3 linked regions of the Tamandua tetradactyla genome follow. The protein of the gene in region 3 purifies or fractionates together with the protein of the main gene of each other region. This does not show direct contact. Links are inferred from orthologs where the notes say so. Each region holds a gene or a part of one and is shown on either strand. Other genes may lie near its edges.

Region 1 (7,341 bases), on a different chromosome or scaffold from region 3:
GAACTGAGAATCAAATAGGGATACTAATCTATTTTCATTTGTAAAACAGACATGTCACTCATCCTACCTTTATGTGACTCAGAATGGTTGTAACAATTACAATGGTATATGAAAGCGCTTAATCTGTAAAAATATAAAGTGTTAATCAGTTATTCACCAAAATTAAAAAATTAAGCTTTCTGATTTAGATGGTGGGGATACAGAGACTTAAAAACACATGGGGAGAGAAACAAGTCGGGTGGTAAATGTTATAGGAAGAAAAATAAAGCAGTAATGCTAATTGAGTTTTACCTAGGGTAACTGGAGAAAGCCTCTCTGATAAGGTGAAATACGAAGGAACTAAGAGCAAAGTGGTCAGTGTTTTTCTTTGGTACTGTTTTCCAAACATTTTGATTATGCACTCCTGTCAGATGGAGTAGGCTGGTGGGGGAAATCGGGCAGAGCAATGTGTAAAATTACATAAATTATGTATATATGCAACCCTATTATATATATATCATAGAAGAGACGTTAAATATGCTTGGTCTCAAGCTTAATTCAAAACCAAGTATAGTCAATATTTCTAGATGAAGTATTAAAAGTGTATTGTAATTAAAGCAAACATAGCTTGATTTGCTAACAACATTTTTAACTATAAAAACCACATAATTTTAGGGAGGAATGAGTAATTAGCTATATCATTTTAAAGATTATTGATCTTAGAGTATGTAAGAAAAATAACGAAGACTTTAGAAATAGTTTTCAGAAACTTTGAAAGTATGTGTCAATAGATACAATAAAAGAAGTAAGATCTCTTACTTTTCTTCAAATGTTTAAAGATACTTCATCAATACCTAATGATTCGCTTGGAACTGGCATTCTAGTATTCTAAAGAGCATTCTACTGAAGAGCGCAAATATAGTGAGAAATGCATATAATTTTAGAGGCATCAGTCACACTGAGATGCAAACAACTGCAAAGGTAATTTCTTTGTCACTAAGAGCTTCATCATACAGCCTGCCCCATGTCCCCAGTAAGCCTAAATGTATGGTTACAGAATTTGCTAGTTCTCTCTTTCCCACTTTATTTTTCTTCCTTCCTTCTACTTCCTTTACCAACAAATTAGAACCAGAAAATTTAGACTTGGAGATTTCTTCAGGCCCTATTAGTACTGATACTACTTGACCCCCAATCCAATACATGCTGTATACCTCCAGTCATATAATTCTTTGGTACAGAAACTTTTATTTAATCCTCTTCCTCCACATTAAAAAAAAAAAAAAAAAAAAAGAACTGCTATTTGCTACCCTTATAAGAGTTATTTTGGGGGGTAATGAAGATGTAAGTTTTTGGAATTAAGGTGCAGACCTCAGCATACTATCACATATTCACAGTTTCACAGTTACATAATGGTATTTATCCAACTTTTAAACACCTCTACAAAATATTGTATTAGGCACATACACATAAACTCTAGAGGGAGGTGACCCCTCCATGAATATTTCAAATGTAAGCAATAAATAATTCCATTCTAAAGATGAAGAGTCAACTAAGAACCACAGACAAAAGACAAGTAACCCAACAGAATTCCAAATTATATAAGTTAAATTCGTGATTGTTGGCTGTCTGGTAAAGAAGTTTGAATGGTCTACAATAAAGTATTGATTAATTCACTAAATACCACAGGACTCTCAAATAGTCTCATTTTACCTATCAAGTCTGCATTCTGCCCCTGGGACCAGTGCCTGCCCCATTTCTTCAACAAAGGTTCATCATGGATGAGCCCAGGAACAAACAGCTGTTACAGACTCCTAGTTCCTATGTTAATTTTTGCAATGCCTTCACTCAAGAGCAACCTACTAGAAACTACTCCATTTAATATAATTTAGACCAGCACAGGAAATAGGATTCAAATTTAATGTTCGAACTTCAATTTAAGAACCCCTGAAATTATCTTTTACAATTCACTGTACTGTGAGGTTGCTCGTTCACCTGATGAGGATATTTGGTACTTCCGCACTGCTCCTCAAACTTTTCCTGCACCAGGAGTCCCACCTAGGAACGGGCTTCACAAGCAAGATGCAATGCTCTCCTATACCTCCAAAGGAAGGTCTATTTCCTGACCGAACAAAGAGCAACGAAGAAGTGGGTGGTAACCACCACCTCAGAGGCAAGTCAGGACCCATCGAATCTGATGCACCATACAAGCAACAACAGCTTCACATTTCTCTACAACCTCCTCTTATTTCTCGGGAAGACTAACTGCCTCGAACTCGAAAACCTTAATGTTTATCGAGCAAGTGCAGCTCTTTCATTCGTATCCTTAGAAAGTGGCGCCCAAACAACCCGTTAACAAAGAAGAGGGAAGGAGTCCACGCCGAACAAGGGTGGGAGAGTGCCACAGGCCGGACTTGGGCCCACAACCTCAGTAACTACTCTCAAGCCCCGACCCGGGTCGACAGGTCTCGGGAGTGGCCGGAGACGGAGAAACGAGACCCTCGGGCCAGACGTCGGCAGAGACCGAGAACAAGGAGGGAAGAGACGGCGGGACTGGGGGAGGGAAGGGGGCTGGGGGTGGAGCTCCCGCGGCCGCGGGGCTTTGTGTGGAGTCAGGGCCGGGGTGAGATTCTGACCCCGGGGAAGGGGTCGGGTGCAGAGGCCAGCGCAGGGCAACCTCAAACCCCCAGTCCCACGAGGACAGCCGACCCCTCGCCACCATCGACGAGCCGGGGTAGGCCGCGCCGCCCCAGGGGTTGGCCCCTCGGGGCGGCGGGCCGCACAGCCAGAGAAAGGGGGCAAGAGGGAAGCGGGGCGTCGACCCGCTCTCGCCAACGGTGCCGGGTCCGGAAAGGGTTAAAATGCGGCCAAGCGTCGGTTCCTCCTCCTTCCCACTCCCCAACACCAGCGCCCACTCGCGACGGTGGCCACCGACCCACGACCTCATCCGTGCCCGCCTACCCTCCCGCCGGCCCGACCTCTCACCATCGTAGTAGTAGCAGACTTTCTTCTTGCCGCCTCCCTGACTGTACGCCATGGGCTCCCCGGCCACCTCCGGGCTCCGGCTCCTCCTCCGGCTGCTGCTGCTGCTGCTGCTGCCGCCGCGGGCCGGCAGGGAGAGAGAAGGGCTGGGTTGAAGGCGGGGGTGGCAGTCCGGTGGGGAAGGGCAGGCCGAAGGGAGGAAAGAGGGGATGCCGGGAGGGGTCGGTACAGCCCCGCCAAGGGGCCGAGAGCGCGGAGCGGGGGTCCGCTGCAGCACCAACTCGCGACACTGGGGAGGGGGAGGGGGCGACCAAACCACCTACGGAGGCCTTGGGGAGGTGGGACGTGCCCACGATGGCCACCGCGGGGGGGGGAAGGGGCATGCCTACAGGAAAAGGCCGCTTCAGACTTAGGATAAAACTCCTTCTGATATTGAACAGCTTGCGGAAGGCGGCTCCAAGTACAGGCTCAAAACTAGAAAAAAGAGGCAAATTTTCCCTCTGCAAATAGGTAAAGGCAGGATCCTGGTGACAATCCCCCCCTCAGATCTTTGCACAGTGGTTGTGCCTGTCCCGAGCCTGCGCAGTCGATACCTTCCCAACCGTAGTCTTGGCGGTCTAGACCCGGTCCGCGTCGTCCCGCGCCGCTCCCCTCCCCCTCAGTCGCGAAGCTCCCGCGCGATTCGACCACGTGCCGCGAGCCGGAAGGGAGCGACCACCTTCGTGAGCTTTGGCTCCCATCCCCGCCCCCCACCGCCCCAGTACCTGCTCGTCTCGGTCTTCTCATTTATCCTTCCGTTTTTTGGTGACAATTTCAATGAAGTATTGAACTGCCCAGGGGGAACTATTACAAACGTTCAGGGGAAGACTACACTGCCTGGGGTTGAATAAGCATTTATAGGAGACATTTATGAATGAGTCATGGTTCTAAGCGTTTACATTTATAATATATTTCATTTACATCTATTAATAATAGATGCCTATTATCACATTTAAGATTCCCAGCAACGCTGGAGGTAAGTCCTTCTTCTTAGATGTGAGCAGATTAAGGAACTTGGTCCTCTCAAGTCCTAACTGATCGTCTGGAGATTTGAACTCAGTCTTTCTCCAAATTCTAGATGCCCCTGCCTAATTAGATTGCTTCTGCTGCTGGCTGGTCACTGGAAGATTGGAACAGAGAGTAAAAGAAGGGACTTTCAGAACTCCAGGAAGTGATAAATACCTGTGTCCCCGTGTTCATTGAATCAACACACACTTATCCAGCACCTATTCTAAGTGAGTTGCATTACATACAAATGGGGGGGGACAGGAGGGAAGATTGACCAGTCTTTCAGTGTAACGCTTATCTTAACGATATCATTGGCAATTTCCCCCACAGCGTACAGTCCCTTCCACACCCCCATCAAAAAGGAAGCCTTAACTGAAGTGGGGACCAGTTGGAGCCACTAGGAAAAACTTGACTTTTATTTTGCTTAGACTTTAAATTCCCAAGGTGTTCATACTTAAAGCAGCAATTTTCCTGGGCCTCACCTCCCACCCCCACCCCCAAGTGATTTAAAAAAGTCACTCCCTTTCTTGTATTTTTATCAAGCACCCCAGGTAACTAATGCAATTAATACAGAAACCACAGTGTGTGTAGCATTGGTTTAGAGGTAAAGTTAATTACATGATATTGGCTTCTAGGTTTTGCTCCATCAAATCCAAAATCAACTGGTGGATTCTGAGACCGGAATAGGTTAATTTAATAGATGTTAATGTTACTCCCCAGAGCCAAGCTAGTAAGGTCTAGAAATGAGACTTTACTTTCTTCAAGACTTCCCTGAGTTCCTTCTGGTCTTTTCTCTGTGCCCTTCACATACTCCTCTTGCACCCTATAGCCCCTCCAGCTCCCTGGCAGTATCCATGTTGCCTACAACTTGTCTGAATGTCCCATTAGAATAGAGCTCTATGTAGAGGGGGACCATGTCTACCTTGTCATAATTGTACCTCTAGTGCCTGTGTGACTTTGTGACTTGAATTGCTGAATTGCTTTATCTGTAAAATGGCATAGTATTACTTGCAGAGTGATTCCTAATACGAATAAATACTGAGAGGGTCAGAAAAGAAAATTACTATGGAAACTTTTTAAACAGTGAGGAACTATGTGGATACAAGGGATTACTATGATTACTACTGTTGTTGTTATTGTTTTCATCCAAAAAGCCTAGCCTTGACATTGTGAGAAGAGTCTGAACATGTGTTTTGATTGCTTGAGGAACTTGCTTTGTTATTTATTATATAATAGTTTTAGAACAGTAGAAGTAAATGATTTTGCCCTAAGATAGCAGCATTAGAAGAGTTGGATCTAGTGTTAAGAGCTGGCCATGAAAATTATGTCCCTGCACATCTAGAACAAACTTTAGGTCATTAAATCTAATCAGTTATTGAAACCCACTGATAAGCTCCAAACTTCATTCACCATATCCAAACTCATCTCTCTCAAAACCTTTTTATGAGTATTTAATTATCATCCTTATCCTTAAACTATATATATATATATATTTTAGTTCTTGCTGTAATTGAAGTTTTCAATCCTGAAGATGTTTAGTGCTTTGGAATTATTCAATAAAATGAACTGTTAAACATAAGTGGATGATTTAGAAATAGGACTGTTTGGAAATCGATTGCTTTAGCTTATGGTAAAAGTTGAACCCTACTACCAACGGCAGCAGATAGTTTAATTTTAGTTGCTATAAAATTATTCATATAAACTTGTTACTATCGTAAAGAAATGCATATTTCTTTGTGTTAAGTTCTGTGTTGCAATTTATAAAGTACTAGAAAAGGTAGAGGAGTATGGTACAGCTTCAGGCTGAATTCTGCTCTCCTTGGAAGCATAGTGCCTATTTTTATGTAGTACTGTAAGATGTAACTCATAAATCTGAAACAGCACCAAACAATGAAAACTTAAAGTGCTATGTGACCTGTTCGTTTATTTAACAACATTAAAAATGACCTATTAATAGAAAATATATTTTTGAACTACAAGTTATCTACTAAATTACTTAGGCCTATTAAATCTTTCAAATCATTCTATAGTTCATTGTTGATGAGTGGTTTGCCCATGATCTTCTAAACAGTATCCACCTATTGCACACTTTATTTAAATAAAATTCTACATGCACACTACGTTTGGTAGAATCTACTTGTTAGTGTCTCTGAATCACTCTATGTGTACATATCTTAGTTATTCCTCTTTGTTATCCCAGACTTAACGTTCTTTCGATCTGGTCCTCATTCTATTCCACCTATCACTAGAACTCTACAGATGAGTCTTTAAATGGGAAGCTTTGCTAAAGTCTGGCAAATTGGGGCTATAACCTGCTGCCCCCCATTTATTTCTCTGGCATCCCTTGCTGTCTCTGACTGCTCATTTTCTTTTCCTTCCTTAAATATTGCTCTCCAGAGTCCCGGACCCTCTTTTCCCACTGGAGCTTACTCTTTTGGTGCTGTCTAACCCACTCAGTGACTGTTCGCTGTTGACTGTGAGTCATAATTTCCAGCCTATACCTCTCTCTTATGCTTAGCTCACTGCATGTCTGAAGGTGGATGACTTGTGGTCATCCCAAAGTCAACGTGACCAAAACACAAAGCCATTATCTTCTGTCAGATCTCTTCTTCTTGGATTCGTTTTTCCGTTAATGGTAAAACCAAACATCCAAATGCCTGAAATACCTTCCTCATGATCTCTCATTCCCACGCTAATCCATCTAGCCCAGTCTAAATAGTTACCAAATCCTGTTCTTTCTCCTGAATCTGTCTTTGAGTTGCCTCTTCTTCATGTTTAGCAAGGTCTTTGTTCAAGCCCTCAGTATCTCCTTCTAAATAATTTCAGTAACTTTGTATTTGATCTCTGATTCATCTTTCCCACTTTCATGTAAATAACTTTCTGCGTCTAATCAATACTCCTGTATTTAAGGAAATCTTTCCAAGTGCATGTTTAACACCTGTAACCATACACTAGAAACTCCAGACACATCAACTGTGCCAGTTTGAGTCTGTTGTGTAGCCCAGAAAAGCATATCTTTTAATCCTCATTCATTATGGCTGGGTGGAGTCTTTTTGATTGTTTCCATGGAGGTATGACACATCCAATTGTGGTTGATAACTTTTGATTAGATGGTTTCCATGGATATGTGTCTCCACTGATTCAAAATGGGGTTGCTTACTGGAGCCCTTTAAGAAGGAACCATTTTGGAAAAAGCTTTAGAGATATAGAACCAACAGAGCCCACACAGCCAGAGACATTTGGAGATGAAGAAAGAAAATGCCCCCGGAAAAGCCTGGAGAGAAAACTAGCAGACATTGCCATCTGCCTTTCCAGTTGAGAGAGAAACCTCAAATA
Region 2 (7,490 bases), about 61 Mb from region 3:
AGAGATTTCAAACAGAGTTGAGAGGTTATCCTGGATGTTATTCTTATGCAATATATAGATATCCCTTTTTAGTTTGTGGTGTATTGGAGTGGCAAGTGGGAAGTACCTGAAACTGTTGAACTGTATTCCAGTAGCCTTAATTCTTGAAGACAATTGTATAACGACGGGGCTTTTACAATATGACCATGTGATTGTGAAAACTTCGTGGCTGATGCTCCCTTTATCCAGGGTACGGATAGATGAGTGAAAAAATAAGGACAAATAAATAAATAAATAATGGTCATACGAGGTGTCATGGTCAGGTTCATGTCTCAACTTGGCCAAGTGGTGGTACCTGTTTGTCTGGTTGGGCAAGTGCTGGCCTGTCTGTTGTGATGAGGACATTTCATAGAATTAAATCATGATCATGTCAGCTACATCCACAGCTGATTCCATTTGTAATCAGCCAAAGGGGAGTGTCTTCTGCAATGAGTGATGCTTAATCTGATTACTGGAAGCCTTTTAAGGAGGATTCAGAAGAGACAGGTTCTTCCTGTTTCGGCTGGTGAGCCTCTCCTATGGAGTTCGTCCAGACCCTCCATCGGAATCGTTGGCTTCACAGCCTGCCCTGTGGATTTTGGACTCTGTGTTCCTGCAGTCACGTGAGACACTTTTATAAATTTTATATTTGCGAGTGTTCCCTATTGATTCTGTTTCTCTAGAGAACCCTAACTAATACATGGGGTAAAAAAAATTGGGTAGATTGCAATGCTAGTGGTTAATGAGAGGGAGGACTGTGCTGGTTTGAAAATATTATGTACCCCAGAAGAGGAATGTTTTAATCCTGATTCTGTCCTGTGGAGGCAGCTGTTTCTTTTAATACTGATTCAATACTGTAGGTTGAAAACTTTTTAGATGACCTCCACGGAGATGTGACATACCCAATTGCGGGCAGGTGTTGATTAGTTTACTGGAATCCTTTAAAAGAGAAAGCATTTTGGAGAGCGCTCAGAGCCAACAGTAACTTCAGAGCAGAGCTGACACAGATGACAACACTCGGAGAACAGAGACATGGATGTTTGGAGGTGCTTGGAACCCAGTAGGCATTGCCATGAGATGCTAAGCAAGCCAGAACCTGGAGAGAGCCAAGGGAAGCCAAGAGATGAAAGCCTGCCCCAGGGATGCAAAGTGAGGAACTCCGACAGGGATAGAGGCTGAAAGCAATGGAACCCAGGAGCAAGGGACCAGCAGATGACAGCAATGTGACTTCTCAGCTGACAGAGGTGTTCCAGACACATTGACCTTCCTTGAATTAAGGTATCTCTCCCTGGATGCCTTAGTTTGGAGATTTTTATAGGCTTAGAACTGTAAACTTGTAACTTATTAAATTCCCTTTATAAAGCCATTCCAGTTATGGAATATTGCAATTTCAGCAGTTTACAAACTAAAGCAAGGACTATGGGATGTACAGTTTTTTTCTTTTGTCTTTTATTTTTTTTTCTGGAGTGATGCAAATGTTCTTAAAATGATCATGGTGATGAATACACAACTATGTGATGAAAAAAAAAAGATCCTACTCACAAAAAGATCATACTTACAATGGGCCTCCTCACACAGGAATGGATTAGCTTTAAAAACAGAATTTTCTTCTCCTTCCATGATAGGGCAATAGCATTTTTCACAGCTAGTGATAGAAGAGTTATGCCTGCTTCAGATATGTATTGATTAACCTTCAGGATGTTTTTAAAAATTGAGTTAATTCACCTATTTAACAATTAGTTTTTGAACATCTGTGTACCAGGCACTGTTCTAGGCTCATAGGATATACAGTAGCTCAAACACACAAAAAAACTGCCCCTTATGGGGCTTACATTTTAGTAAAGGGAGGCAGATTATAGACAATAAAGACCATAAAGAAGTAAATTACATAGTGTGCTACAAGGTGATGTGTGCTAGGGGAAAATTAGGGCAGGGTAAGGAAGATTAGAAATACCATGTTTGTTGGGAGGCTTGAAATTTTAAAGAGGGTGGTCAGGGAAGTCCTCTTTGAGGAGGTGACATTTGAGCAAAGATTTGAAGGTGAGGGAGTGAGCCACGTGGTATGGGAGAGGAACCTTCCAGAGGGAATAGCCTGAAGTAGGAGCTTGCCTAGGATGTTCAGAGAAGGAAGATAATCCTATGAGGTCTGGGGCTTTTATGGCTTTTGCAGGGTTTCCTGCAGAGCCATGATGGGATCTCACATTTTGAAAGGATGACTTTTACTACTCTATTGAGAATGAACTGAGCTAGTTGCCAATTTGTCAAACTGGAGAGATTTTGTGTGGACCTGCAGATTTCTGAGTTCTCTTGAAAAATAGGAAGATGTGCCCACTTTGGACCTACCTGCCTCCATAGAGCTGAGCAGTAGCCTCCCCCTTTAAAAAGTAGGATGTGAGAGCTCCCTTTTACCAGAATCTCCTCCACTCCTTATTGCTCCCAGACAATAAAATGGTGTATTAGCAGCTGTTGTTCCTATAATAAAGAGGAAAATGAATTTTTTGTCTATATCATTTAAAAGTGAGAAAAGAAAAGATATCTGAAGATAGCAGTGTGTTTGAAGAAAGATGGGGGAAGGTATATTTCTTTATGAAAGTGAAGACTAGTTCAATTCTCAAAATATGCAAAGAGGAGCTGCTGAGTCAAAATAATAAAATCCATTCATTTACATCACCTGCATGACCTCTTTAGACATCTGAGTTTGTGTCTGTATTTTTATAAAGTGCCGCCAACTTCTGATCTCATTTGATCTCCATCCTTCTCCTGTGTTTGGACATAGTCAGTGAACTTTGTATTCTTATCCTCCCTATTTTATGAAGAGGGAAATGGAAGCCCAGAAAGGTTAAGGTATCCACTCAAGGCTAGCCAGGAACTAGCAACCTAGAACTTGCAATAGGATTTGTTCCTTGGCCTTTCCCATGTTTATAACACCATGGCCCAGTCTTAGATCTCCACTGTTACCTTTCAAATTAATAGCCCAAATGCAATCCCTAAGTGAGGAACACATGTCCTCGAGCATTCTTTAAATGTAAAGAGGCATAAAAATGCATCTTAATGACTATAGGACCACTAGTAAGTTAGCATAATGCTTGGCACATGGTAAGCACTCACTAAATATTAATATTTTCATAGTCGTTATTTTAATAACTCAGAACAGTGTTTTTCAGTCTCTTAGCTTGCAATAATAACTGATTGATGATGGATTAGTCTATTGCAGTGGTTCTCAAGAGGATAGTGGGGTGATTTTTAACATCAGCTTCCCCTAAGGAGACATTCAGCAATACAGGAGACATTTTTGGTTGCCACAGCTAGAGGCAGGGGGCAGGGAAGCTGCTCCTGGTATTTAGTGGTAGAGATTAGGAATGGAGCTAAGCATTCTAGAGTGCACAGGACTGGCCCCTACAACAAGGAAGTATCTAGCACAAAATGTCAATAACTCCTAGATTGAGAAACTCTGCTCTAGTGTAAGAACGTAATCCAGCTTCCTCCTGTCTAAAGACACTCCTTAGTCCTCCTGGCTGATTTAGGGAAGTAGGCTTTGGACTCACAATGACTGGCTTCTGCCACTTTGTTACAGTGCCTTTGACACATAGTAGGCGTTCAAAACACCTATACAGCTGAAAATTGAATTCACGTACTAATTGTGTGACTCTGAGCAATTCACAAATGTCTGACTTTCATTAATCCTAACTGTAAAATGGGGATTAAAAAGCCCTCTTCCGGAGTTTTTCTGGGGAGTAACTGAGTCAACGTCAGTAAAGCTATTGCACAGTACTTGGCCCATAGCGGGGGCCTCCACAAACATTAATTTTCTTTCCCTTACTTGTCTATTTCTTCCTCCTTCAATGCATTTTCTAATCTAGTCAGTCCCTTCATTAAACTGGGTGACCTTGTGCAAGTCACTTTTCCTCTGTAGGCCTCAGTTTATTATCTGTAAATTACAAAGTTGACTTCTCATCTCCAAGCATACTTTCAACAACAAAATAACACTGTGAAGTTACCGACCTGTCTTTCTCCCCCGGGACTAATGGTACAGTCCCCAGGCTCCCCACCCCCCTGTTGAGGACCTTGGTACAGGCCCAGGGGGCCCTCGGCTGCTACTCCGGGCTGCCCTTACCCCCTGCCGAGTTCCGGGCCCGTCCCCGTGCGAGCTGATTGGCTGGAGTGGTGCCCGGGCTGCGCCGCTATAGGTGAGGGGGACGGGCGGAGCGGGTTGGAGGCCCGCCCTCTCTCCCCTGGGACGGTCCCTGAGCAGAGCCGTGGGCGAGAGGGCGGACGGACTGACTGACGGGAGGGACAGGAGGCAAGCAAGATGGCGCAGACTCAGGGCACCAGGAGGAAAGTCTGTTACTACTACGACGGTGAGCACCGTCCTCACGGCGGGGGCGGAGCCTGGGCTGGGCCGGGTCGGGGAGAGGGAGACTGAGGTCGAGATCTGAGTGGAGAGGCTGAGAGAGGCTGAGGCTGGCGGAGGCGTTGGAGGGAGGAAAAGAGTCGAGGCTGAGAGGGGAGGCCGAGAAAGGGAGGTCGAGACTGAGGGAGGAGGCTGAGAGAAGAAAGGAGGTCAAAGCTGAGAGGAAAAGGCGGTCGAGGCTGAGACCGGGAGAGGGTGGTCTGGGGTCAAGGCTGAGATAATCTCAGGGGCAGGCTTCTGAAGAAGTCCGATGTGGAGAGTTTGAGTAGGGCTCCTGGAGGGGAGGCTGAGTCTGAGGGAGGAGGCAAAATCTGATAGAGAAGGTAATAAGGATAGATTTCCCTGCTGGGACTACACATGTCTTTGACTGTTTCTTTTCTTCCTCACCGATTTTGGTGAGAATCCGGAGGGAATCGCCGGCTAGAGGTTACCTAGTATTCTCCCTCCCTCCCATCTCTGAGCCTGGCCTGTGGTTGCTACTGGGAAATAGGGTCCCTCAGGTTGGAAGAAAGATGCAACCTGTTAAAACAGGCTTATCCATTTAACAACAGTCTACCGAGCAGCTTCCTCTGTACTAGGTAGCATGTAGGTGCTGGGATGATCTAAGTCACACTTCCCATTTTCAGCTCGCGGTGTAAAAGGGGGGATAGACATTGACAGAGAATTACTCCCAAGTTCAGTGTTGGGATAAAGGAGAGCTCAGAGTGTTATGGGAGCACAGGAAGAGTCACCCAACCCAGCCTGGGGAGTCAAGGAGGAAGGTATCACCTCAGTTACGACCTGAAGAACGAGAATTTATTAGCCAGGCACAGGGAAAGCTAAGGTAACAACAAGTTTAGAGGCAAGACAAGGACAGCACCTTTGAAAAACAGCGAATATGTGTACAGTATGGTTGAGGCATAGAATTGGGGGCAGAGTATAGAAGGTGAGAAGCAGGGATTGAAGGTAATGAGGCTAGAGAAGTAAATGGGGACTAGATAATGAAAATCTAGGTGTGCCCTTCCAAGGAAGTTGAACTTTATTCTGAAGGCACTGGTGAGCTATTGAAGTTTTAAGGACATTACTGTCATAATCAGGTTTATGCCTTACAGATATCACTCTGGGGCAGGAAATAAGTTCATGAATGTGTAGGGGTAAGAAAGAAGGTAAGGATTCTAAGTTTCTGGCTTGTGTAATTTGATAGTGGGTGTTTGGTGAAGGCTGTCTCAGTTGATAAATTTGTTTCATTTTTTTTTTTTAATGTAATACCTGTTGAGATGTCTGGTGGATAGCCACGTAGAGACACCCAGTAAGCCCTTTGTCCAGGTCTACAGTTTAGAAGACAGAGATGAGAAGGTAGAGATTTTTGGCAGCCATCCCATATACCTGGTGATTTTAGTCATAGAATGGATGTAGTCACAAGAAGTTATGTAGGATGAAAAGAAAAGAGGATCCAGAAGGGAATACTAAAAAGGAGCAACATTTAAAAAGTGGACTGAGGAACAAAAATAAAACACAAAAACAAAAGCCAAAAAAAGTGGACTGGGGGAAAGAAACCTAGTACCCCCCATCTCTGAATTCTCCTGACATTGCACTTGACACTGTGTACTGAAATTGTCGGTATACTTGTTATTATTTCTTGCAGACAGTAAGTTCCTTAAAGAAAGGAACTATGCCTTATCCACCTCTTTATCCTCAGTCCCCTGAACAGTGCCTAACTCACAGTAGACTCTGAATAAATGAATAATGACACAGAGGGAGTGGCCAGACAGGTTAGCAAACCAGAAGTCTTGGGTTACAAAAGCCCAAGGAGGGAGAGAGTGTTCAAATATTGGCAAGAACCGTTGCTGTGCTGTACACTGGGAAGTGAATAAGTGGGTGAAGAGGAAACATCAGATTAAACCCTTTTTGAGGGAAGCTTGTCTGGAGCAGGGAGAGAAGAATGTTGATAGAAGTGGTCATGTAGTGGCTGAGAGTTGCACATGTTCAAATTCTAATGGAAAAGAGCTGGAGAGAGAGAAAGGTTGAGGGTACAGGAGAGAATGGGGCTAATGGTGATGGAAGTTCTTGAGGAGACCAGGTGAGATGGAAACCAGAGCACAAGGAGGGGCACTATCCTTCAAGAGGAATTTCCTTTGTGACAGAAGGATAAGTGGCAAGAAAAAGTTCAAATATAGGTGAGTTTGAAGGGGAGAAGATAAGGAAGGTTGAGGGAATTCTCTGGATGAAGTAAGTGAATATTTATTTTCCTGAGAGCGAGGGAGGGCAAATGATAGAGTAGGAATCTTGAAGAGAGAGAAGATCTGAAGTAGCTGTTGTGAAAGAGAGTAGAGGAATTGTAAGAATTGTTGGGCAGTGGTGAGGCCCATTAGAAGCTAGAGCCTATGACTTGATAGCTACCTCAGTTTGCATGGTTTTGTGATCACCACACTCTTGATTTAAAAGAAGAGAAAGTGGAAAGAGCTGAGTCTTTGGAGAAGAAAGCAAACTCGTTACTTCTTAAGAAACTGCTTGTGAATTTTGCAGTGAGGTCATTAGATTGTGAATCAGATTTGGATCTGCCACTGAGAAGCTTTGCAGTATTGGGCAGGTCAGTTTACCTTTCTGGGCCTCAGGTCACTCCCCTTTAATGCAGAAATAAAAGCAGTTCCTGTTATAAGAATAGTGATGGACCATTCCTTTAAAATTTAAAGTAATATCTAAATAAAAAGTATTATTTCCCCTATTCTTTTCCATAAAGTCTCTCAGCAACCTATTTAAAAGCTGTTAGGGGCAGTGTAGGACAGTGGCTCAGCAGGCAGAGTTCTCACCTGCCATGTTGGAGACCGGGGTTCGATTCCGGGTACCTACCCATGCAAAAAAAAGAGTTGACTCCCAAATCACTTGTTAGCTATGTGATTTGGGGCAGGCACGTACTTCCTTTGAATCTTAGTTCAATTCACTGAATCTTTGTGAGCCTCTGTGATGTACAGGGCATATTTGTCATTGCCTTCAAGTAGCACCAGTCTTGTGAATATAGATAGATGTAAATAACTCAGATACTAAATGAAATTAAGTGCTATATACAAATTGAATGCAGAGG
Region 3 (8,237 bases):
AGGTGGAGGGGCCTCCGAGTCTCCTTGTGGAAGGGAGGGAGCATGCCTGCAGCTGGTAGCAGAGCCGCCTGTTTGAAGCCCTGGGACTTTGGCCCCTGCGCATTTCCTCTGTGTCAGCTTTTCTATTTTTGACCGGTTGCTTCCCCTTTAGGGAATTATCAGCGATACTGTGGGAAACCCAGAAAAGCTTTGTCCAGGGTCTGCTGGGTTGCCTGCTCATGCCTCGGCCTCCTGGGCTCCTCTTTACTGCCTGGGGGTGGGGGGTGGGGCGGTTCATGCTGGCATGTTCCCCACTCCTGGATTTTATCCTAAAGAAACCATTTATTGTGAAATCCTGGAGACAACTTCAATGTCCAGGTGAGGAGTAACACATAGCCACGAAGAGAGGAGGGAAAGTGACCCTGGGTGGTGAGCTGGGAGGATGCTGGTGGTAAATGTGAGCTTGGAAGGCAGAAGGCAGAGCTACTGTGATCACAATTGGGTGGAAGTGATATCTGCAGATGGATAAGAAACAGTGTGGTCCACAGGGTATGCCTGGACGCTGGAGGCCCAAAGAATCAGTTAAGCTCCTGGTCTGTCATTTACTTGCTGTGTGACCTTGGGCAAATCACTGAGGCTCTCTGAGCCCATTTTCTTCTTCTGTAAATATCAGAATAGTTTACAACCATGTTTGGGGTTTCATGAGACAAGCAAAGGGCACACAGTAAGTGCTTCCTAATAACGTGGATAGATGGAAATAGAGTGGTATTGTGGGGAGAAGATGGAAGCAGTCACATTTATATTCCTTGAAAAAAAATGACCCTGTAAACCACTGTTGGCTACCCCAAATTAAACCACAGTAAAGCCGTTGAAAGTTTCCATCGGCTTTTTAGGCCTCTGATTTCAATCTGGCCTGGCCTAGGTGCTGTTTCTTTCTTAACTTGTCTGGACCTCTCTCCTTCCAGGGGGATTACACCCAAGTCCCGGGGCAGGGACAGGATTTGCAGACAACACCAGGTGCAGCCTGGCTTCCCATGGGGGAATCTGCATTCCTGGAATTCTTGCTGGGAGGCCCGCCCAGCCTGGCTCCAGTTGAGGCCGGGCTTCCACAGCCGCTGGATGTCCAGGGGCCCGGGCCAGCCTGGCGGTTCCCGTTGGTGGGTGGCTGAGCTCCCAGCACCCCCTGGAGGCAGAGGGGAGCCCATCCCAGGGAGGCGCCTGGGCCTGGGATGGGGTGCAGGGTGAGGGCAGATGGATTTAGTTGTCATGACTTTGCAGCAAGCTGAGGATAGATTTAAAACAAACAGGAAGAGAAAGCAAACATTCGATGCTTCATTCATTCGACTGGTCTTTATTAAGCACGTATTGGGCACCCTCTGCACCAGGGTGAACAGGCTGTCTCTGCTCTCGTGAGCCCTCCGGTAGCGGGGAAGTGGACAGGTGAGGGGGCCCTGGTGAACAAGGTGCAGAGGGAAGAGAGGGAGGGCTGAGCTTGGAGGTCCTTGAGGAGGGGACAGCCCACAAGTAGGACCAGTAAGAGAAGGAATCCAGTGGGGGACGATGCTCAACCATGCTGGTTTACCTGGGCTGAGGGGTTGTCTGTCAGGAATGGAGACTTTCCGTGATAAAACCAGGACAGTGCTGGGCAAACGAGGGTGCCAAGAAGGATATACGATGTAGGGGATGAGGCTGGGGGTGGGTGGGGTGTGCTCGATAGCTGCCAGGAAGGGCAAGGCAGCAGAAGGGTGCCACAATGACATGGGGTGTGGGGCTTTTTCTGTAACTGGGAAACTGAGGCCAAAGGAGAACAAGGATGGTGGCATAAGTAGGACTGGACATGGCTGGGTACCAGCGATTTCAGAGACCAATGTGACTCAGGACGAAGCTGTCCGCTGAAGGCCCTTGGGTCTTCCAGGTGACAGCAGGACACAAAGTGTGTCCTGATGGACCACTGGGGAAGATGTTGGGGAAGAAAGAGAAGAGCCCAAGGAAGGGGAGATGGTGGCATAAGTCTTCCAAACTGGCTGCCCTGGCCTGCTTTTCAGGAGAAAAGAATTTACACAAAACCCCACTGACCTGGGCTATAGGGGAACACTGGGGTCTCTGGATAACATCAGCAGCAACCTGGAATGGTAGCCCAAAGGTGTGGGCTACCCTGCCTGTGAAATCCAGTGAGTGCTTCCTGGAAACCCCGAATTCAGGGCATCCCCATGTGCATCGGCTTCCTTGACCCTCCCTCAATTGTCATTGGAATTTGCTAACCCCCGCCTCCCCCCCCCCCCCCAAGGCTCTGGGCTTGGCCATTAAAGGGTCAGTGCTCTCCTGCCACCTGCAGCCGTGTGCAGGGAGCCTCACAGCATTCCTAGGGCACGGCAAAGGAGCAGAGCTGTTCTAATGCCACCTCCCAGCAAAGCCAACCTCTAGTATGGCAGTCCACTTTTCCTTACGAAATACTTATTGCTAAGTTACAAAATAGAGCTTTTCAAGGGCTTCGGCCCTACAGAAATGTGACATTTTGCTTTTCAGATCAGCAGACTCCATAGGACCTTTCCTGTCTGCTCCAGTCCACATGCGTTACTTTCTTCTTTGAAGACCTATAACACCTACTTTTTATCCATCCATCTATCCACCCATCACCCACCCACTCATCCGTCCACCTACCCCATCCATACATGCACCCACCCTTCCATTCCCCTATTCATCCATTCACCCACTCATCCATTTATCCAACAACCTATCCACTACCCATCCATCCACTTATCCACTCAACCGTCCACCCACCTACTCACCTACTCATTCATCAGCCTATCCATCCATCCATCTTCCCATCAGCATCACTGAGTGTGTACTGTGCAATTGGGGGTTAGGAATGTAGGTTCTGCCTTCAGCCAGTTCTTTGGCTGTTGTGGGAACCTTCACAGGGGAGTCTTGGGCAGCCTCTCAATCTCTTGGGGCCTTAGTTTTCACAATGTGAAAGGAGGATAATGAAGGCACGCACAGTCAAGGGTTGTTTTGAAGGCACAAGAGAAAATATATGTAACAAACAATGTAGAATTGGGCATGCAGGTTCTCAAATGTATGCTAGATATCACTCCTCTTTCTCCTCCTGCTTCGTCCCCACCCAGCTCAGCCAGGCCAGGACACAATGAGCTTCAACTACAATGAAAAGGACTGTTTTCCATTGGGGAGGATCTGGGAGCGGTGGAAGTACCACTGGGTGGGGTGGGGGTGGGGGGATGAGAGGAAGCCCCTGAAGCACCAGTGGACACTGGCTGGTGGAAGGACTTATGTGAGATAGGACGGTGCCAGGCAGGCTTGTGGCCTTGCTGTGCTGATGGACAGCCTTGAGTGGGGGTGGGAAGCAACTTTTTAGAATATATATTTATAAAAATTGTTCATGGATACAGTTTCATTTACCGATTCATCTCCACTGGCCCAAGCGCAGTTAATGTTCTGAAAACAAAACAAAAACATAAACCCCAAAGGCTGAAGTGTTTTTTCTTGCTTTAGTTCTTTTCCTCTCTTCTGTTTCCACTTGTGGTTTTTCTGAGCCTGACAACTTTTGGAAAGGGATATAAAAGGATTTACAACATAGATAATAAAGCAGATGGTTGTATTGTTCAGCTGCTCTACCCACTGTGCTATTTGCTTTCAGGAATTTAGCTATGACTGGAGGCACGGATTACAAAACAATTGACAGTATGAACGGATTTTCTCATTTTCACTGGAAGGAGGCAAGACCCATTTATCTGGTAGTGGAAGTTGGGCGCACAAGTTAGCCGTTTGGGGTGAGTCCTGGACTGGAGGGGGAGGCAAGCGAGTTTGTCAAAGGAGTTTGGATTTTGACCTGAAGGCAATGGGAAACCATTTCTGGGTCTTAAACTAGGGAATGACAAATCAGAATTGGATTTTGACAAACTCCCCTTTCTGCTCTTCAGCGACTGCTGGGTGACCAAGGTGGGGATGGAGAGAAGTGAAAGGATAGAGGACTGTGTGAGGGTAAAGGGGAACCTGTGAAGAGCTGCCCTCCTTCACTCCTAAGCTAGCTGTGTTTACCTTTTGCTCCAGGGCACCTGGCCCCAAGGTGGTGAGGTTGGCTGGGCAAAGAGCTCCGTGGGGAGCCAGGCTGGGGCCAGCCAGGCAGGGACCTTGCCCACCCTGTGTCCCCTCTGGGAAGGGCTTCACATCAGCTGCCACTCTTCTGGCTCTGTATCCATGACAACCACACACCTCCTGTTCCCAGGGTGTTTCCCTTCCAATGCTGGGTCTCTTTACCAGTACACGTTCCCGTATCCTATCTGGGTGTCCATTTCCGATTTGGAAAATAAGGGACTACATTATTCTGCCTACAGGCCGGGTTGGGCCCACGAAGCTGTGGAGGCCACACACCCCTCCAAGATCCTTAGACCCGTGTGTGGGAGAAGCAGGCAGCTGGGCGAGAACGTGCAGGGGACAAAACCAAGCTCCGGCCCTACCCTGCCGTGGTCCACGGAGGTGACAATGCCTGCTGGAGGGAAAGCGCCTCGCAGCCTGCAGAGCAGCAGGCACGCAAGAATCCTCAGCATAGCTTCTCGCCTCCCAGGGGCTCCGGGGAACGGTCCCAGCAAGTCGCAGCCCTGGGCAGGGGCTCCGGGCAGGCAGGGCAGGCAGGGCTCGCGGCCTCACGGGCCAGGCCCGGGCCGGGCTCTCCCGAGACGGCTGTCAGGACCTTTCTGCAGCTCGGGCTTCTTTCTCCTCTTTAAGCCGGGAAGGTCTGACCACCTGCCCGCCCTCCCGCACTTTGCCCAGGGCTGCCCTCGAAGCGTTACCTGTGGCCCCCGCCGATAGGAGCGCTCGTGGAGAAGGCAGCTGCTTCTCCAGGCGGCTCCGACTCGGAGAAGAATCGTGGGGGCCACGCCGCCAACTCAGACCGCGGGAGGAGGGCTGGATCCTCCACGGGAGCCGGCTGCGGGGTGTGAGAGTTTGAGGGCACACTAGCTTATTCCTGTACGTTTATTGTGCTTCCATTTTCAAAAAGTGCAGGAAAAGAAGGGCCTACATCCGACAACGCGTGGGTCCACCGCGGGAAGCCTGCGCACACACTATCCCTTTAAGGCGTTAGGCTTGATCGAGGCATTCTGCCCCTTGCCGCTCGCCGTAGCGCTCCTCCGAGAGGCTGATTTTGTGGGTCTACCCCGCCCCCAGGACCCCGCCCCCTCCCTTCGCGCCTGCGCACTGTCGGGCGCACCCCTCCGTCGGCGTCTGGCGCCCGCCGGAGCTGCCGCCTAGCCGAGCTCGGCCCGTGCTTCAGACCAGGCGGCTGCCGACGAGGCGTCCCGAGCGCTCCGGCCCCGCCGCCGCCGCGGCCCGGCAGGTAAGCGGGCGGCCGTCTCCGCGCGGTGGGCGCGAAGCCTGGGGCGAAGCGGGCGCGATGCCGGTGTACTCCAAACCGTCCCCCGCCGCCGCACGTGTTCCCCGGCCCTCCCGGGACCCCGGGCCAGCGCGCCCCACGCCGCCCGAGGGGCCCCCAACTGCCTCCGCGGCGGGCCCCGTCCTCGCTGTGGAGAGCTCCTCGCGAGGGCCGCCGGCCTCTCACCGCCCTGCTCCCGTCCCAGGACCCGCTTCCCCCGGGCCGAACGCCGCAGCCCGGCCCGTGGAGCGCCCTCCCCCTCGCCTCTCTTCTCCCCGGTGTACCCCTTAGACCCCCCTGGGTTCCCGGATGCTCTCCTCGGCGACCCCTGACGGATCGTGGGCCCCACGGGCCCTTCCCGCCCTCCCCAGCCGTCCAGTGACGAGACGGAGCCCGAGGGTCGCGGCTTCTTTTTCCCCTGCAGCCAGCGGGCACTGCGTCTCAGGGCCCCCCTTTCCTCCAGTCCTGCGCCAGGGGAAGACCCCGGACGGGGCTGAGCGCTCTGCGGGCTTGCCCACGGTCCCTGATCCTGGCCGTCGGCCGTAAGGGCTGCGAGTCCTGGGGCGGGCTCCACCGGGTGGGCTTTCTGCCATCGGGGAGAAACCACCGGCCCTCCCGCGGTGGCGCCTCCGGCCCCGTGTTTCGTGGGTGAAAGACACGCATTAACAGCTTTCTTGTGTGAGTTTTGCCCACCCGGCACCATTTACCGGCCCTCTGCAGCGAGCGTTTTCCTGAAGCTTTGGCTCGGACAGGCGCTGGGCCAGACTCTGCACCCGAGGCTAGCCCGGCCCCATTGGGAAGGCGGGTGGAAGGGCCAAGTACTGAAGGGGGTGTTCAAGAGCCCAGAGGGCTGGGGGGCAGAGTCCCCTAACTCACTGCTGGATGGCCACCTGCGGGTCACCTGGAGGCCTCCTGCAAAGTGCAGGCGACCTCCTCTCCGTCTCGGAGGCCTCATTCCAGGGTGGAGCCTGGGAATCTGCCTTTAACGAGCAGCCCAGGTGCGCACGCTGCCTTAGGAGGTCAGGCTCACCTGGATGCGCTAGGAGGTCAGGCTCACCTGGATGCGCGCTTGCCTCTGCTCTGGAGGCCAAGTCCCGATCCCCTTCCCTTCACTCAGATGGTGCTCACCTTGTGTGTACCCCTCGTTTTCAAAGACCAAGTCCCTGTCCAGCTCCCCCCCCCCCAAATGGTTGTTTTTCAAAAGGTATTCCATGGGATTACCTGAGTGTTCACGGAAAGTGCAGAGCCCTGGATCCTAACTGTGAAGTAGAATCTTGGGGTATTGGATCAAGAAATCTGTGTTCTTCAAAGTCCAGCTTTCCAGTTGACCTTTTTGCACATTGATGTGTGAGAGACCCGAGAGCTGAACGCTTCTGCTGTAAGACTGCCTATTTCATTCCCTGGGCTTGCTCCTCCCCTCATGTTGGCAGAAGCCATGTCCCACCTCCAGGTGGGGCTGGCTTTATGTTAAAAGGAGCTGCTCTGCCACTCCCCCCCACTCCAGCTGCCCTTTTCACCTGTGTGGGCAGACCAAGCCCTCGCCCCTCTCACCTCAAGTCTCTGTTCTCACTGGTGTTTTGCTTGGGTGGGCTGGCTGGCAGGCATCTGCCATGCTCTCTTAGTTTTCTGCTGTAATCTCAGTTTCCTTATCAGACTTTCCAGCTTTGTTCCTAAGAGGAGGTTTCCTTAGTGCCACTCTTCGCTGCTTATCCATCCCACAGAGGAGAGGGCAGCAGTTGAGGTAAACTGGCAACCAGCCAGGTTGCACTAAGGATAATCAAGTACCTAGCATGTACTTAGCATCAATTTTGTGCCAGCGCTTTGCCTTTGGTGGGTTTTGTGAGACCTATCCTTCTCTCCCACTCAGACTCAGTCTTTGAGGGCTGTACTAGGACAGGAAATCTTTAATGCAGGTAAACAGAGCTTTGCTGCATGTGTATTCTGCCCAGTGGCTGTTACATTGTGATTTTTCTTCTATTCTGTTGGATGAAGACAGAGGCATGGGTTTTTCTGATAGTTCCCGTTTCACCTTAGTGTTACAGGGAGGTTGTGCAGGGCTTCGGACTTAAGCTTTAAGCTAGAATCTACGGTGTGTAAACTCATTAGGTTAGGTGTAGTGCTACCTTCTGGACTTTGGATGGCCAATGATGGTCGCAGAATGGCTTGGCAGCTCTTCTTTTTAATAGTGCTTTCCCTCATTTCAGAATCACCTGGTGTGCTTTTAGGAAATGTATCCAAAGAATGGAATCTATTCCAGTGATAGAAGAAACTGATCACGTACTGTACGGGTTGTAGATATTCCTGTTGTCAAGTGAAACCTAATTGAGTGGCAGTCTTTTTTCCTGTTTTCCTGCAGTTTGAGTCTTGCTTGCAGAGCATCAGTGCTGTACTTTTTCTACAGAAGGCAGTAGGTGGAACCTGTAGCAGACACAGCTGACTCTGGTTTGTTTTTTTGCTGCTGTGTTTTGTAGCTGTTTCACCAGGGAGAGAGAGCCTTTTAAGTTGTTAGCATTTTGGAAATCAGCGTTGCATCTACTACTAGTACCTTGCAATAACAAAGCCCACCCGTTAGACCTAGAACCCCTGGGCATGTGTTCTGTTTTCAAACGTGGTCATTAACAGTATCATATCACTTAGGATGCATTTTACAATTTGGATGAGCTCCCAGACTTCTGCACCTGAATCTTAGTCTCTTCTAATTTGGCATATTAGTTTTCTATCAAGAAACCTTTGGGCTCGTTGAAGTTTTCAAAATTGTGTTTTGTGTGAATTGTGCTATATTCCTATGGACCATGGGACACAAAATAGGAAGCACCCTTGAAGTGTAGGGTCCTTGAGAAAGTGTGAGAGCAGGGATATTTTGGCATAG

What was found.
Region 1: the proteins of WDR5 (region 3) and HDAC2 purify together in Homo sapiens (affinity purification with mass spectrometry; 7 studies listed by BioGRID and IntAct, with this or other methods). This does not show direct contact. The link is inferred for Tamandua tetradactyla from reciprocal best matches to the Homo sapiens genes WDR5 and HDAC2.
Region 2: the proteins of WDR5 (region 3) and HDAC1 purify together in Homo sapiens (affinity purification with mass spectrometry; 8 studies listed by BioGRID and IntAct, counting the BioPlex papers as one, with this or other methods). This does not show direct contact. The link is inferred for Tamandua tetradactyla from reciprocal best matches to the Homo sapiens genes WDR5 and HDAC1.

What each region holds. Positions count from the first base shown.
Region 1 is NC_135331.1:172,998,171-173,005,511, forward strand, and holds the start of HDAC2 (histone deacetylase 2), read right to left. Parts: upstream 3,266-7,341; 5' UTR 3,014-3,265; coding exon 2,962-3,013; intron 1-2,961. UniProt on the Homo sapiens protein: Histone deacetylase that catalyzes the deacetylation of lysine residues on the N-terminal part of the core histones (H2A, H2B, H3 and H4).
Region 2 is NC_135328.1:193,616,652-193,624,141, reverse strand, and holds the start of HDAC1 (histone deacetylase 1), read left to right. Parts: upstream 1-4,225; 5' UTR 4,226-4,327; coding exon 4,328-4,376; intron 4,377-7,490. UniProt on the Homo sapiens protein: Histone deacetylase that catalyzes the deacetylation of lysine residues on the N-terminal part of the core histones (H2A, H2B, H3 and H4).
Region 3 is NC_135328.1:132,474,982-132,483,218, reverse strand, and holds the start of WDR5 (WD repeat-containing protein 5), read left to right. Parts: upstream 1-5,207; 5' UTR 5,208-5,332; intron 5,333-5,890; exon of another isoform or gene 5,891-6,046; intron 6,047-8,237.